2 linked regions of the Arabidopsis thaliana genome follow. Each later gene encodes a partner of the first gene's protein in a complex. Each region holds a gene or a part of one and is shown on either strand. Other genes may lie near its edges. A codon is read from its position in the direction of its gene.

What was found. Proteins that work in one complex are often made in the same cells at the same time.
Region 2: the proteins of TOC64-V (region 1) and Hsp81.4 are in contact, whole or in part, in a crystal structure (PDB 6HPG), measured with the Arabidopsis thaliana proteins. Residues at the interface, in NP_196504.2 of Arabidopsis thaliana: Lys492 (codon at 3,567), Asn496 (codon at 3,445), Tyr499 (codon at 3,436), Tyr511 (codon at 3,400), Thr523 (codon at 3,364), Asn527 (codon at 3,352), Ala530 (codon at 3,343), Glu534 (codon at 3,331), Val556 (codon at 2,932), Lys557 (codon at 2,929), Leu560 (codon at 2,920), Arg561 (codon at 2,917), Thr564 (codon at 2,908), Glu586 (codon at 2,698), Asn589 (codon at 2,689), Thr591 (codon at 2,683); in NP_200411.1 of Arabidopsis thaliana: Gly692 (codon at 5,260), Ser693 (codon at 5,263), Lys694 (codon at 5,266), Met695 (codon at 5,269), Glu696 (codon at 5,272), Glu697 (codon at 5,275), Val698 (codon at 5,278), Asp699 (codon at 5,281).

What each region holds. Positions count from the first base shown.
Region 1 is NC_003076.8:2,925,660-2,934,391, reverse strand, and holds TOC64-V (translocon at the outer membrane of chloroplasts 64-V), read right to left. Parts: upstream 6,220-8,732; 5' UTR 6,077-6,219; coding exon 5,835-6,076; intron 5,631-5,834; coding exon 5,478-5,630; intron 5,389-5,477; coding exon 5,264-5,388; intron 5,174-5,263; coding exon 5,048-5,173; intron 4,940-5,047; coding exon 4,757-4,939; intron 4,674-4,756; coding exon 4,529-4,673; intron 4,346-4,528; coding exon 4,177-4,345; intron 4,006-4,176; coding exon 3,868-4,005; intron 3,760-3,867; coding exon 3,559-3,759; intron 3,449-3,558; coding exon 3,321-3,448; intron 3,242-3,320; coding exon 3,190-3,241; intron 2,936-3,189; coding exon 2,866-2,935; intron 2,722-2,865; coding exon 2,642-2,721; 3' UTR 2,371-2,641; downstream 1-2,370. Other genes in the region: AT5G09430 (alpha/beta-Hydrolases superfamily protein), read right to left, coding at 1,030-1,147, 1,230-1,297, 1,390-1,482, 1,574-2,230; EICBP.B (ethylene induced calmodulin binding protein), read right to left, coding at 7,101-7,223, 7,296-7,640, 7,740-8,322, 8,483-8,732. UniProt on the Arabidopsis thaliana protein: Chaperone receptor mediating Hsp90-dependent protein targeting to mitochondria.
Region 2 is NC_003076.8:22,675,007-22,682,887, reverse strand, and holds Hsp81.4 (HEAT SHOCK PROTEIN 81.4), read left to right. Parts: upstream 1-2,735; 5' UTR 2,736-2,820; coding exon 2,821-2,943; intron 2,944-3,202; coding exon 3,203-3,344; intron 3,345-3,451; coding exon 3,452-5,286; 3' UTR 5,287-5,550; downstream 5,551-7,881. Other genes in the region: HSP81-3 (heat shock protein 81-3), read right to left, coding at 1-811, 911-1,052, 1,356-1,478. UniProt on the Arabidopsis thaliana protein: Molecular chaperone which stabilizes unfolding protein intermediates and functions as a folding molecular chaperone that assists the non-covalent folding of proteins in an ATP-dependent manner.

The DNA of each region.
Region 1 (8,732 bases):
ACATATGGTTGTTTACTGCATATATAATCAACGAAGTATATAGGTAAGGCCGAAAATTAAAGGTCAGTGTCTTGAATTGAATTTTGTTGTCCTTTGAACATTAATGTAAAAACGTCACCAAGTATTTGTCTACATTCGACGAGTGCCGGCACTTTTATCAAACGCTTCAATAATTATTAGTCCGCAGAAGCAGCCAATATATACCACTTTCAACTAAACCCTATATATTTTCTTAGTTACATAATAATATCACCAACGGATGAGCCAAAAATTGATAAGAAAAGGCAATAATCCACAGCTCGTATAGAATAGAAGTGCCACTAAGTAGATTAGGTAAGTCACAACATTAATTAGTAAAATACATCTCTTCTTTTAACAAAATAAAATTCCTAACGATTCAATCATTATAAGTTAAGGATAAGTTTGGCTTAACTAATCAATAAAATATTGTGAGGTGTATATGTTAGCCTTGTATTGCCGCCGACCGACCGACCGACCGACCGACCAACTTCTCATGTTGACTAAACCAATCTCTCTTATATACACAGATTGGTCCCAGTTCTCTTGTCATGTATCGGAAGTCCATATTATTGGAATCTTCTCAATATATATAATTCGACCTTCACATTGTACAACAAATTTAGACGATAGTCGATAGGGGAGCCACATAAAATTGGACCATGCAAAGAACTGTATATAATTTTATTTAAACTCAATTTTTTTTTTTTGTTTTCAATATTCTAACTTCCTTTATCAAAGCCCACCAATCAAAACAAAGGCCAGCTAAAATAGGCCTTTTAATTGTTATTGCCTTATTGGATATTTTTGTTGTAGATTGTATAACTCAGGCTCTGCAGTTGTCAAGTTCTATCTGGCGTGGATAAAATAATCGTATTTGTGATCTAACAGCTAACATAATTTCCTAATAGACAGTTGATGTTTTAAGCTTTTAGACAAGAAAGAAAGATCACCTATATATTGAAGAATAGTGTAAAAATAAAAATGGTTGATATTATAGGAAAAAGTAATTCACAAAGAGTCAATGAGAAAAGATTTCAAATGCTTGACAAATTCCTTGGACTTCTCCAAATTCACAGCATGTCCTGCTTTCTTGATCACCACTATCTCTGCACTCTCTCCTATATGTCTGTTTCACCATACAATTATTATAAACACATAAAAAAATACAGAGGGTAATCTCTATAGTTAATATACATGTTGTTGTTTACCTTTTTAATCTGTAACCTAGTTCCAGTGGAAATATTTGATCTTCTTCTCCCCATATGATCAACGATTTCTAATTCAACCAATAAACACACACATACACACAATGTTATAGGAACTGCGAAATTTACATAAGCAAATTAAAATCCGAATAAAGGTTTGTACCTGTTTGATCCTAGGAAGATCAGAAAGTCTCCTATCTTTGAGTATTGATTTGATCAAATCTCTCTTCTCCTCTACAAACTCCGTACACATTACCTTTTCAACATTTTGAACAACATTTCTCAAAACTCCAACATTTATCAACAAACAAACAAACAAAGACATTATTATAAAGGAAAAAACTTACATCGATAAAATCCCAGAGAAAAAACGAAGGAACACCTTTGATTGGTTTAACGAAAGAGAATCTTATGAGTTCCTTAAGCTTTTCCGGCGTCTGAGGAATCAAAATTCCGGTAGCTTCTTCTAGATTCGGCACCTTAAACAATCCGTCCTCCATATCTTTCTCCTCCAAACAAACCCCTGCGCAGCACAGCACAAGCTTCTCAACGTTCTCCGGAAACTGCGCCGCTAAACTATACCCAACGAATCCACCGTAACTAATCCCGACGATGTTCATCCTCTGGACTCCGTGCGCTTCCATTAACCTCATCAGACACCGAGCCTGGAAAGATTCGGTTCGGTTTGGTTCCGATGTGGATGATAACCCGAAGAAGAGGAGATCGGGAACGTAGACGTTGAATCGGCCGGTGAAAGCTCGGAGATGTTCTCCGTATTGCCACATTGCGTTGGCGCCGAATCCGTGGAGGAGGAGGAGATTAGGTTTAGATCGATTCGGGGATTTAGGAATCCAACAATGCATAGCTGTTGATGCGATTGAATTGCCGTGGGAGAGATCTGTCGTTACGGAACGTAGACCGGCGTTTGCGAATGATTGCCGGAATAACCAATCTCGCGACGCCGTGAAGCTGAAGCATCGCAGCAGTTTCATATGATCAAACATTTTTGATTCGAATAATTCAAAAATGAAACAGAGGAGAAGATACGGAGGCGTGACGATGACGAAGAGGAAAAAAACAAACAACGAATTCAGTTATTTGTCGAGAAATTGATTGTAAACGTGTCATTTATGGGTCCCTCCGTGTAATTTAAGGAATTACAGTATTGGACTTGGGGGAAATTGTAATTTACGTAAAAGACCGTTAAGAAAACAAAGAAGCTAAAAGGACCCCATAAAACTTTTCAGATCAAGTAATTAGAGGTAGAAGTTTTCATCCCAATCTGTACACATGTCACAAAACCACTAAATTATTAGTCTGTTGAAACCGGAGCAAAACCTTTCCTTTTTAGGGTTTTAGATAAGTGAAAAGATAGATTGGTGAACAAGAGAAATCGAGTAATAATCCTTTTTAACTCATATGTGTTTTCGGAGTCTCTTCTCAGCAACCTTTGCCGTCTTGTTCTGTGGTTCAAGGACCAATGCGTGCCTGAAATCTGCAGAGATGATCAACCATAATGTTACGCTCCAATACCCTACTAGAGAGAGTAACTCATCTGGATAGCTAGATGAATTTTATCTTTTAACAAGTTTCTCCAATGTGATAAAATTACAATCTCAGAGTAGTTTAATCATCATACCTGCAGCAGCTTCCTTGTACCGTACAAGTGATTCTCTAGCAGTCCCTCGTCTCAAATATGCCTTCACATTCTGTAGAAACAAATAACTATTATAAGAATCAAAGCTTCCAAATAATGCGTCATTGTGTCTATAGTGAGTGATCTGAGTGATAATGAAACTAGATAGTCATAGTACAAAGGTATTACGCCGCAAATCAAATAAATAAAAAGTGAATAGTTTTGTTCCAGCTCAAGTGTACTTAAACACAAAACCATGTTAAAAACACAATGTAACAAAACAAACTACGAGGGATGGAGAAATAAGGCAGCTAATCAAGTTTTCACCTTCTTATCGATCAACATGGCCTTGGTACAATCTTGTTCGGCTTGTTGGAAGCTATAAACAAACTCTCAGATCAGAAAATCATAATAAATTATATTCAGATCAGAATGAAAGATATGAAGAGAACAATTACCAGCAAAGTTCCAAGAAAGCTGCAGCTCTATTGCAATAATAAGTAGCATTTGCTCCATTCAATTTTATAGCTTCTGTATAAAAGTTTACCGCCTTATTCCATTGTTTCCCCTTGTATGCAGCATTGCCCTGGAATTACATTTTATCCACTGTTAACTTTGAGAACATTCCAACTCCAGTAGCATATCATGGATCAGAACCAAATATACTATTTGTCAAACTCAAAGAGATAGTTTTACCTTTTCTTTCATAACTTCAGAAGCCTCCATGTTACCATTGGTGTCAGACACTGGAGCTAAGTTGGATGCAAGTTTGGCTTGGTCTTGAAGGGATGCATATACATCGAGAGTTGTATCGAGAAGGAACTTATCACCTCCATAGTAAGTAAGAAGCGACACGGATATTGGACGATCACCATGTTCCCCTAAAGGAATTGTAACCTGAAGAATATGTATATATTTGTGTCATGACTAAAGACTGAAGAGTAAGGAAAAGGCAACAAGAATGTTCCCCAACCATTGAATGAGAAAGAGGAGATGGAAATATACCTGACAACATCCAGACATGCTTGCAATGCAGGAGAGTGCATAAGTACGATCAAGAAACTCATTCAAAGATTTATTTCTCTTTGTGTTAAGCCTTGGAGGGGGATCAGCAACTGTGGGGATTACCAGAATTCCATCTTCCTAGTAATAAGATACCGATCTATGGTTAATCATAATACCATAGAACTAAAAAGAAGCCGCAAAAATGAAAGTTAATAATTCAATCTCTTCAGACTTCAGTGTTTTGGTGGCAAAATGTCCTCAAGACACTAATGGCTGTGAAAATTTTAAATTTCCAAAAATCGAGTTTACCTTTAAAAGGCTTTGAATGGTGGCCCGCATCTCATTTTTCACTCTGTAGAGGGATTTAATGCTCTCGTTTTTGCTCTTCAGAGCTGTAACAACATCATTGGAAAATCTTGGCCCTAGAAACGATTTGCATGTTTGCCACCATTCTTCATGATTTGTTTTGAACTCATGCCTGGTAAAAAGAAAATCCTTTCTTCTTCGATATTTGCATATAATACAACTTAAGAAGAAAATAGTAACCTCCAGCAAAGAGGGAATAACAACAATCTTTTATTGCACCCGTTTAAAAGGAACGAGAGAGAGAAAAAAGTATTGATGCAGTGAAAATTTCAAGAAGTGTGAGCTTCTTAAATACCTTTGTATAGCCAACATCACAGATGAAAGAGCCCTTAAAGTTGATGCTGAATTTTGGGATTTCCCAGATTGCTCACAGAATTCCGCAAGACTTGGTACATTTGAAGCGACATATTGGCCAACGTTAACATGTTTTGGAGTCTTGTCTGCATGAGCCAGTGGTCAAGAGACATAAGATATGAATCTGGAGAAGGGCAAAGAGAAGGAAACAATACAGCTGCAAACTTACAGCCAGATAGATTCTCGATTGCCTTTCTGACAACTTGCACCGACTTTTGCTTAGGAATGTCAGAGAGCTCGAATAAATCATCAGCAAAGATTAAAGATCTTTGCCTTCTATGTGTTACTGCACTCAGATTTAGTAAGGCATGTCCAACTTGACACAAAACGGATGGATCAGAGGCAAACCATCCTACAGAACGAATCAATGAGTTCAATAATCAGGAAGGCAAACACCTAGAGTAGCATGTACCATTGAAACTACACTAAAAACACTAAAAGGGAGGGGAATGTAACGTACCAACAGTCTCTAGGCTCTGAGAATTGGGCAAAACTCCAACTGAAGAAACAGTCCCCTGAGATGGTCGAAAACCAAGAATACCACAAAAGGCTGCTGGGACTCTAACACCACCAGTGGTATCAATCCCTGCAAATCAAGCATCTTTTGATTAGCATAAAGAACCAAACGTAATCCAAGAAACACATTACCAAGAGAAAACGAAGAGATTAACAATACCAAGTGAAAAGTCAACGAGTTCAGCCCCAACAGAAACTGCTGAGCCACTGGAACATCCTCCAGGAACATTATCTGGCATCAATGGATTAATAGGAGTTCCATAGTGCTTGTTTTCTCCAATAATCCTGTAAAATCACATTCAAAACACAAACTTTCTTCAAACCAACTACCGAAAGGTCATTTCATATGCAGAATGGTAGGAGTGGAGAGATACCCAAAACCCAGCTCATCCATTATAGTCTTGCCAACACAAGTAGCTCCATTTTTCAAGAGCGTCGTGACAACCACAGCAGTTTTCTCAGCAGCCTCATGAGTCTTCTTCCATTGTGGACAACCAAATCCTGTGATATAATCCTTAACATCGAACCTGTCAAACCATTAACCCCGATATAACTTTATTCATTTCATTGCAACATGACTTCGTCTAAGCAAGTCAAAATCTCAATTAAACCAAACAAAAGTTTTGAACTTTATAAGCGAGATCATTATATAAAGCAGGAAAAAACAAATTTGAAAATAGGTTATGATTTTTAAGAGAGAGAGAGAGAGAGAGAGAGAGAGAGATACATACGCGTCGGAGATGGAGAAGGTAAGACCAGAGAGAGATTGTTTAGCAGCAGGAGGAGGAGGCGGAGGGAAAGGAAGAAGCTCGAAACGATCTAAGAAAGCACCAAAGTCTTCTTCTCTAAGGGCTCTAATCCGCCGCTTCCGGGTCTCCGCCAGAATCACGATCCCGGCCACCGTCACGCCGATCACTACCCAAACTTTGGGATTCGAGGCATTGCTTTGAATCAAAGAAAGCGTATTCGACATAACGCGATCTCACGAGAAAGAGAGAGAGAGAGAGAGAGAGACAAGGGTTTTAGGAGGGTTTAAGAGAGAAAAGGGGAAAGAAAAATAGGAGAGAGATTTGGAAGAAGCAAACACAGATGCTATCGTGCGCACTGTGTCTAAACCCTTTTAATTACGAGTGATGACTTGGCCAGCCGTGAACTCAAGTCCGTCTGCCCAAGGCGAATCTTCTCTTTTTGATTGATTAATAATTGTCTTTACGAAATCGATAAAGAAATTAAAAAAAAAAATTAAATTAAGAAAAATGGAAATTTTAATTTTAATTCCTTTATTTATTAGAATTACTCGTTTCAATTTTTTTTAATAAGCTTGTACAAATTGATTTAGGTTTATAATTTCTTTTGTTGGCCATTTCTTCTCTTAATGAACTTTTCCACTCGTGGAAAAATAGATTTTAAGCTAGTCAAGCCACTAAAAACCTCAATATAATAATGAAAAAATTAAAATATATACTGCTATAATTTATTGTTAAGTTTCCATTTTCTGTAGCCTTGCCCGTCAATCCAATTTTATCTTCAGATTATAGGAAAATCCAAGTTAAGTTTTTTTTATAGCTTTAATGGTTTACCAATCCAAATTTGGTAGATAAAATGGCATGTCGACCCGGATTTATAACCTTTAAAAGTTAGCTCAATATCATACTACCATTCAAATTTAAACTATAACAATATGACTGATGTATGAGTTTGACCAAAACAAATATGATGTATAAATTGCAGAAAACAGCTAATAAAGAGAAGAATATTCAATACGGATACAAATATGAATCAGAGTAATCCAACACTTGGCTATATAATATTAGCAGAGAAAAGCCAAATGAACAAATAAAAAAGTTATATATTGTTAAGACGAAAGAAAATAGTGAATAATTCTATTTCAATCCAAGTAATAAATTAAGCGGTAAATATCAACTATGGTATTTACAGAGAAGAAATAAAGTTAGAAAGTAAAAGAAGGAAAAATGAATACGAGTCAGAAAGTAAAATCAAGGAGAAATAGACATCATCAATGTGTCATCGTTCAAAAGAGACTCAATGTCAATAAAATCGTCTTCTTCACAGTTGACTGCTTCTTCTTCTTTATTGTTTATAGATGCACTTGATGAAGCCTGCAACAACAATTTATCACAAGAATGCTCAACAAAATATGATTAACTGATTATGTTATGGGTCTTGGGTACCTCATTTTCACGGAAGCCCTCAACAACCGTTAGGAGTCTACGGTATTGATCCCGTGCTTCTGGGTATTGAACCATCGACTTAACACGAGTCAGAGCCTTCTGTAGCCTTTCCTCTGTTTGTTTTCTTCCCTCTTTAAGATAATCATACTCATCTTCCTGTGGGATCCTAGGACATATAGCTGATACAGGCGGTTCCGGTTCCACGGTTTTGGCGACTGCATTGCGTTTAAACCCTCTCAAACCATTACCTTTGCGTCTCCAACGCAAAATGATTTTCTCGAGTAATCCCACAGACCAGATGACTGTTCGGTATTGTTTCCGGACCTGATGTCCTCTCACATGAGCCTAAAGGTAAATGTAATATGATTCCAGCAATGAGAAACCAGACAAAAGACTTATGCAAAGAAATAAGGGGGAGAAAAAAAAACTCAATGAAAGGCAAACCTGAATTTTAACGATTCTTTGTCGGATTAAAAGAAACTCTTTTCTCTTCTTCCAACCACGATATTTCTTCTGGATATGGGTAGCAGCACAACTAAGAGAGACATCACCCTGTCCTGGATTCTTAGTTTTAGAAGCTGCAAAAGAAACAGCTAACTGGTCGGAGATATCAATCTTTTCATCATCGCCAATATCACACAGCTGTTTCCGTTGGAATGATTGCATCCTGAATACTTGATGGAGACGATCAGCCGCTTGCGTAGCATTACGGACAGCAGTAAGTGAATCCTTCAAGGAAAGTTTCTCTGGTACATCGCCATAGGTCATAGGAGCAGCGGTTCGCTCAGAGACTGTTTGAACAGCTTTTTCTCCACAAGAGTTGGCAGGGCTATTTTCCTTTGAGTCCACTGTTAGCTTTTCAAGATAACTAGTTAAGGAAGACTCTGCAAGAAATCCCGAAATTCCCCTGTGTCCATTTGCGTAAGCCAAATCAGCTGCTGTTTTACCCAATGGAAGCTCTGGAGATGGATCCGTTAATGCCCCAGCATCAGCACCTAGAGAGACAAGCACAGCGACAGTTTCCTCCCTATAGTTAACAGGAAAAGGAGTTAGTTTGATATGGCAATGTTGACCAAATAATAGAGTTAAAGCATCATCAATGTGAGCATCTTAAACGAAATGCAAAATCTCAAATAATAATATTATGATTAAAGGAAATTGAAGATATGTGAGATAGAGGTCCATACCTGCCACTAAACGCAGCCCAATGAAGGGCAGACCAGCCATTGGCATCACGGAAGTTAATGTTAACTCCTGCTGCTAACACCGGTTTAATGGCCCAGTCATACCCAAGCGCTGCAACAAAGTGTAAAATACCCTGTCCATCTTCATCCAATATGTTTGGACCTTTACCCTCTTCAGTCACTTTATGTATGAGCCATATATATAGTTCTTCTTCAAACAGTTCCCTAAAAAGCTGTCCTTTTGGTTCTTGTT
Region 2 (7,881 bases), about 20 Mb from region 1:
ATACCCTTGACAAACCCAAGGTACTCAGGAATGATGTCTTCACAGTTGTCCATGATGAAGACACGACGGACATAGAGCTTGATGTTGTTGGGCTTCTTCTTAGTGTCAAAGAGATCAAAAGGAGCTCTCTTGGGAACAAAGAGGATAGCTTTGAACTCAAGCTGTCCTTCAACTGAGAAATGCTTCACAGCCAAATGCTCTTCCCAGTCATTGCTCAAACTCTTGTAGAAAGCAGCGTACTCCTCCTTGTTGATCTCCTCTGGCTTCCTCATCCAAATCGGTTTCTGCTTGTTCACCAAATCCCACTCATGAGAAACCTCCTTAATCTTCTTCTTTTTCTTCTCCTCCTTTTCTTTCTCCTCATCAACTTCCTCAACCTTGCCTTCCTCATCCTTCTTCTCTTCCTCCTCTTCATCATCAGAGATCTCCTTCTCAATGGTCTTCTCAATCCAGAGAGAGATTGGGTAGCTGATGAACTCAGAGTGCTTCTTCACCAAATCCTTAAGCCTTCGCTCCTCAATGTACTCCATCTGGTCTTCCTTGAGGTAAAGGACCATCTTAGTTCCTCTACCAAGAGCCTCACCAGAGGTGTCTCTGGTGACGGTGAAAGATCCACCGGCCTGAGACTCCCACACGTACTGCTCATCGTCATTGTGCTTGGTAGTAACAACAACCTTGTCAGCAACCAAGTAAGCAGAGTAGAAACCAACACCAAACTGTCCAATCATGCTAACATCAGCTCCAGCAGCCAACGCCTCCATGAATTCTTTGGTTCCAGATCTTGCAATTGTTCCAAGGTTGTTCACCAGATCTGAAAAATAAAACAAAAACGTATTAGCCAACACACCAAACACATAAATAATCAACGAAAACCAATACAAATTGCTTTTGACTGAAATCAATTACGTACCAGCCTTGGTCATCCCAATACCACTATCGATAATCGTCAAGGTGTTGTTAGTCTTGTCGGGAATGATGTGAATGAAGAGCTCTGGCTGACCATCGAGCTTGCTCTTGTCTGTCAAGGACTCAAACCTAATCTTGTCCAAAGCCTGTTTTCACCAGAGTAAAATCACAATCGTAAGTAACCAACCAATACACAGAACGTATATACAAATTACATATAAGCAAACTTTGTAAATCTAACAAGAGTCTGCTTAATCGTTGGTATCAACACTAAAACTAATCAACAGATTTGAACACAAACAGCTTCGCAACTTCAATTACCAACCAAAATTCTAAAATCGGCTAGAACACTAAACCCTAATCAATCCTAAATCTACAGATCGAACAGCCAGATCAATCAAACGAGACAGACAAGTATAAAATAAGGTGTAGAGAGATAGAGATCGTACATCAGAAGAGTTACTGATGAGTTCACGAAGGAAGATCTCCTTGTTAGAGTAAAAGGTATTGATGATGAGGGAGAGCAACTGGTTGATCTCAGCTTGGAAAGCAAAGGTTTCTGCGTCCGCCATTCTCGTTGATCGGAAAAAAAATCTAAGAGCTAGGGTTTATGAATCAAATCGAGAGATAAAGAGAGCAAAATTTTCTTTAGAGAGCAGAGAAGTGTTGATTGATACGAGACTTTGGGGAAGGATGTTATTATATATAGTGGTGTGGGGACTGGGAACCTATAAGGGTTTCTAGATCCTTCCTATTTGATTTATGTTAATTTGCTTTTCAGGTCCACATAATCTGCAATATAATTAAATGGAAATTACAAAATACAAAACTATTTTTTGGTAGAAAAATACAAAACTTTATTAAATTTTTTAAAATTTTATTCCCTTTTATTTTATTTTGGAGAACAGGTGTAATTTACTACTTTTTGTAACAGGTTTTAGTTTACTTCTTTTTTTTTTTGGTTAAATTTTGTAATTTACTATTTTATTTTATTGGTTGATGATAATTTACTATTTATAAAAAACAGTCAGATTTAATTCTACTCCCTTTTTATTTTGCAGAACAGGTGTAATTTACTACTTTTTTGTAACAGGTTTTAGTTTCCTTTTTTGTTAATTTTGTAATTTACTATTTTATTTTATTGATGATAATTTACTATTTTAAAAACAAAGCAATAATTTTATTTTTTGCTTACAACTTTTTTTTTCCTGTTTACAGATTGGTATGTGTATCTTTTAATAAAGTTTCAAAAAAATCAATAATTAAATAATAATATTGAAAGTTGTAAAATAAATAAATTAAAACAATAACAAAAAGAAACACATATTCTCTAAAAAGCGTGGGGTTTGTGGGGAGAAAAAATTGATTTTTTTTTTTTAACTTCAGAATTGATTAAAACTTTTTTTTTTTTTTTAACACAACTATTTATCTTGTTGTTATAAATTAAATACATAACTAAAATTTGAAATAAAATTTTGAGATATCTTGAAACTAAGGGATTAACTTTATCGATTTCAAAAAATAACCCAAAACTAGGACCGATCTAAAAAAATCTAAACATAGATAAACTAGAATGAATGGGAACTTGTAAATTCAAATCCATAACAAAATCGAATTTTGTATATGGAGAAAAACATTGTTTTTATTGATTAGTTTAGCTAATAGAAAAATTTAACAAAAAAAAAAAAAAAAAAAGTAAGTAGCACTTGTTCCAAAAAAAAGGAAAGTAAAATATTATGACAATTTTTATATTTTACAATTTCCATTATATTATGACGTCTGTTTCCACATCCCCTATATATTACACACTTTTCCCCCTTAATCAAACCATCAATACTTCTCTGCTTCTCTTAAGAATTTGCTTTTTGATTCACATAAACCCTAATTCTTAGATTTTTTTCCCGATCAACGATAATGGCGGACGCAGAGACCTTTGCTTTCCAAGCTGAGATCAACCAGTTGCTTTCCCTCATCATCAATACCTTTTACTCCAACAAGGAGATCTTCCTCCGTGAACTCATCAGTAACTCCTCCGATGTACGATCTCTCCCTCTCTGTCTTTCTATGTTTATCTTTAAGCTTAATGTGTTTGTGTATCTCCTTCGATTGATTTGACGGATCTATGTGTAGATTTAGGTTTTATTAGGGTTTAGTGTTCTTTTCGATTTGAGATTTTCGTTTGTTAATTGATGGAACCTTTTCATGTTCAAATTTGTTAGATTACTTAGTTTTTGATTGTATATATGTTGTGTGTATTTTGTTACTTATGATTGAGCTTTTTATTCTGGTGAAACAGGCTTTGGACAAGATTAGGTTCGAGTCCTTGACGGATAAGAGCAAGCTCGATGGTCAGCCTGAGCTTTTCATTCATATCATTCCGGACAAGACTAACAACACCTTGACCATTATCGATAGTGGTATTGGGATGACCAAGGCTGGTACGTAATTGATTTCATTCAAAAGCAAGTTGTACTTGATTTCATTCAAAACCATTATCTATGTGTTTGATTTGTGTTTGCTGATTCGTGTTTGTTCTATTGTACAGATTTGGTGAACAACCTTGGAACAATTGCAAGGTCTGGTACCAAGGAGTTCATGGAGGCATTGGCTGCTGGAGCTGATGTTAGCATGATTGGTCAATTTGGTGTTGGTTTCTACTCTGCTTACTTGGTTGCTGACAAGGTTGTTGTTACTACCAAGCACAACGACGATGAGCAGTATGTGTGGGAGTCTCAGGCCGGTGGATCTTTCACGGTGACCAGAGACACCTCTGGTGAGGCTCTTGGTAGAGGAACAAAGATGATCCTTTACCTCAAGGAAGACCAGATGGAGTACATTGAGGAGCGAAGGCTTAAGGATTTGGTGAAGAAGCACTCTGAGTTCATCAGCTACCCAATCTCTCTCTGGATTGAGAAGACCATTGAGAAGGAGATCTCTGATGATGAAGAGGAGGAAGAGAAGAAGGATGAGGAAGGCAAGGTTGAGGAAATTGATGAGGAGAAAGAAAAGGAGGAGAAGAAAAAGAAGAAGATTAAGGAGGTTACTCATGAGTGGGATTTGGTGAACAAACAGAAGCCTATCTGGATGAGGAAGCCAGAGGAGATCAACAAGGAGGAGTACGCTGCTTTCTACAAGAGTTTGAGCAATGATTGGGAGGAGCATTTGGCTGTGAAGCATTTCTCTGTTGAAGGACAGCTTGAGTTCAAAGCTATCCTCTTTGTTCCCAAGAGAGCTCCTTTCGATCTCTTTGACACTAAGAAGAAGCCCAACAACATCAAGCTCTATGTCCGTCGTGTCTTCATCATGGACAACTGTGAAGACATCATCCCTGATTACCTTGGGTTTGTCAAGGGTATCGTTGACTCTGAAGATCTTCCTCTCAACATCTCAAGAGAAACATTGCAGCAGAACAAGATCCTCAAGGTCATCCGCAAGAACCTTGTGAAGAAGTGTCTTGAGCTCTTCTTTGAGATTGCCGAGAACAAGGAGGACTACAACAAGTTCTATGAGGCTTTCTCTAAAAACCTGAAGCTCGGCATCCACGAGGACTCCCAAAACAGAACCAAGATTGCTGAGTTGCTCCGTTACCACTCAACCAAGAGCGGTGATGAATTGACCAGTCTCAAGGACTACGTGACAAGGATGAAGGAAGGTCAGAACGAGATCTTCTACATCACCGGTGAGAGCAAAAAGGCCGTGGAGAACTCTCCCTTCCTAGAGAAGCTCAAGAAGAAGGGTTACGAAGTCCTCTACATGGTTGACGCTATTGATGAGTATGCTATTGGTCAGCTCAAGGAATTCGAGGGAAAGAAGCTTGTCTCTGCAACCAAGGAAGGTCTGAAGCTGGAAGAGACTGATGACGAGAAGAAGAAGAAAGAAGAGCTCAAGGAGAAGTTTGAGGGACTCTGCAAAGTGATTAAGGACGTTTTGGGAGACAAGGTCGAGAAGGTTATCGTCTCTGACCGTGTGGTGGACTCACCTTGCTGTCTAGTAACAGGCGAGTATGGCTGGACTGCAAACATGGAGAGGATCATGAAAGCTCAAGCTTTGAAGGATAGCAACACGGGTGGTTACATGTCAAGCAAGAAGACAATGGAAATTAACCCAGAGAACTCGATCATGGATGAGCTGAGAAAGAGAGCTGAAGCGGACAAGAACGATAAGTCTGTGAAGGATCTTGTGCTTCTTCTCTTTGAGACCGCTCTTCTCACCTCTGGTTTCAGCCTTGATGAGCCCAACACTTTTGGAAGCAGAATCCACAGGATGTTGAAGCTTGGATTGAGCATTGAAGAGGATGATGCCGTTGAAGCTGATGCTGAGATGCCTCCGCTTGAAGATGATGCTGATGCTGAAGGTAGCAAGATGGAGGAAGTCGACTAAATATTGCACAAAGTCGACTAATATTAGCGGTGTTAAGAGTTTTGGTTCTATCGTTTTACATATCTTTGAGAATTTTTTTCTGCTGTAGTTTCTTTCTTATCTTGAAGCTTTTTCTCTGAACTCGGTTTTATGAAAAAGATTTTTTTATGCGAAAGGAACTCTGTTTCTAGCAAATCCAAGCTGATTTTTTGTCAGGTCATATAACTTAGTTATGACCATATTTTGCTAACCAGAATTACGCTAATCATATCTCACACAAAACCGTTACATACAGTGGTCATATATTAATGTAAGTATATAACAATATTAGTGTTTATTTAACTAAAATAAATTTTATTGCTGATCTTTTTAAAAATTATTTTTGCTATTACATGTTTTTAATAAAAGAAAGCTAAGAAACATATCATTATTGCTATAAACCCCACTAATTATAGTTGTTTTGAAAATAATATAGTTATTTTTTTGTAAAAGATATACATGTAACTTCAGCATTTTCATCGTTTTCTATTTTTGAAACTAATCAAAAATAATAGTAAGAAAAAAACTTTTATGAAATATATATAACTTATTTTCTCAATATCTCTTTAGTATATTGATTAATTTATGCTTCTTAAGCCATATTATTTTTAATTTAAAGCCATATATAAAATAATTATAAGAAAATTGAAACAATAATTGGCAAAAAGATGCAAATTCCAGGTTAATTGAATCAGATGCAGATACAAAATTTGTAATTATAATGAAATCGTAAAAACATTAAATGAATTAAAGAGAAAAAAAATACGACGTAGGGTGCAAAGAGGAGATTTCATCTCAACGCATGGGGGTCATATTAGAGATTTGAAGCCAAATGATTTATCGAATAAACTTTAAAAAAGTTTTTTTATAAATGTCATGGGGGTCAGTTGACCCCCCTCCTATATAACTGCCTCCGCCCCTGGTTACATAATATAGAACAATTTCTTGGCACATGGACCTAAGATTGACACACATACAAATTATATTATACTGTACCATAGAAAATATACAATTATCTATATGTAACAAACAACTATATATAAGATGATTAAAATATATGTAATGATAGAATTCTATTATAATATAATGTTGTATACGTTTATCTATACACAGTTGATAAAATTTTCCAAAATAAACCATAAATTTAAAACTTTACAAATACTCATCTTACGTAATATATTAATATATGATAGCTTGAAATAGCCAAATTAACTATAACAAACAACTGTGATGGCATATTGCCGTGCAACAGACAAGTATTTACCTAGTTTACATGTTATTACATGATATTTTGTTGAAATTATTTTTGAATTTTAATAATTAAAATACTAATTTTTGTAGTTTTTTCTAATTTTTTTTAATTTTATATAGTTTAGAGTTATAATCTATTATTTTTCTTCCTTACAATAAACAAGAGAATTAATTGTTTTATTGTAGAGTTTCTACAAAGTTGTTTTAAATAGCATTTTTAGTTAATATTTATGTTGAAGACTATAAATTGTTTAAAACAATTATCATTAGTTCTCATTAATTATTTACATATGATTTATATTTAAATCGCTAAAAATATGATTATCATGTGTTTAATTCAACTTTAAAAGCACATTAACATCAATCAATCATTAATAGATCGAATGAGCTTGATGTTTTAGTTGGTCTTATAAATTAATTTCCCCGATAAACAAAAACAAATTCTCTCCGACCAGATAAAACATTACATGGTGATGCTTCAAACTAAAGTTAGCTTCATTACATCTAACAATTTCGACATTTCTGTGATCGAAGCTCGAAGTTAAATCAAACATAGTTTCTTTGGATTTTAGCTATCGTTTCCAAGGCAAATCTCTCATATTTTTTTAACCATAAAAAATAATCTTTTATACTCTTTTTATTCTTTCAAACCAATTAATCTTTTCCTATGAGGAGATTTTAGTTATTTGTGTGAGCATAGTTATGAAAACATGTAGACAATAATTGAAACCCAAATGTAAAAGGTCCAAATTTAAAGTTTTTGTGGTTTAAAGCATAAAATTGATTTTCAAACAATATTCATGTAAAAAATAATGTATAAAAAATAAAAACTAAATCATATTAATGAAATATTCTTATTGAAAGAGAAAAAAGCTGAAGAGAGTGCGTGAAGTATGGTTGTTGGGTTGAGTTGGCTTTTAGAAGCATTATTTGATCTTGAAGTTGAGTTTGTGTCTAGTATGGCTGAAGATAAGATGAAGAGTAAAAACTGTTTTTTCAAAATGAAAAGTGTTTGGTAGTATATATTTCTTGGAGAAAGAGATAGTCTACATAGAGCGTGAAGAACTTTTAGAAGAAGTTTCTTATTTCAGTCTTGTAAAGAAAAACAAGAAGAATGGTCTTCCATCTCGTTTATATGATTTATTTTTTATACGCTAAAAATATGATTGATCATGTGTTTTATTCAATTTTAAAAGCACATTAACATTAATCAATCATTAATAGATCTAATGTGCTTGATGTTTTAGTTGGTCTTATAAATTAATTTCACCGATAAATGAATTTTTTTTTCTCCGGCGAGATAAAACATTACATGGTGAGGCTTCA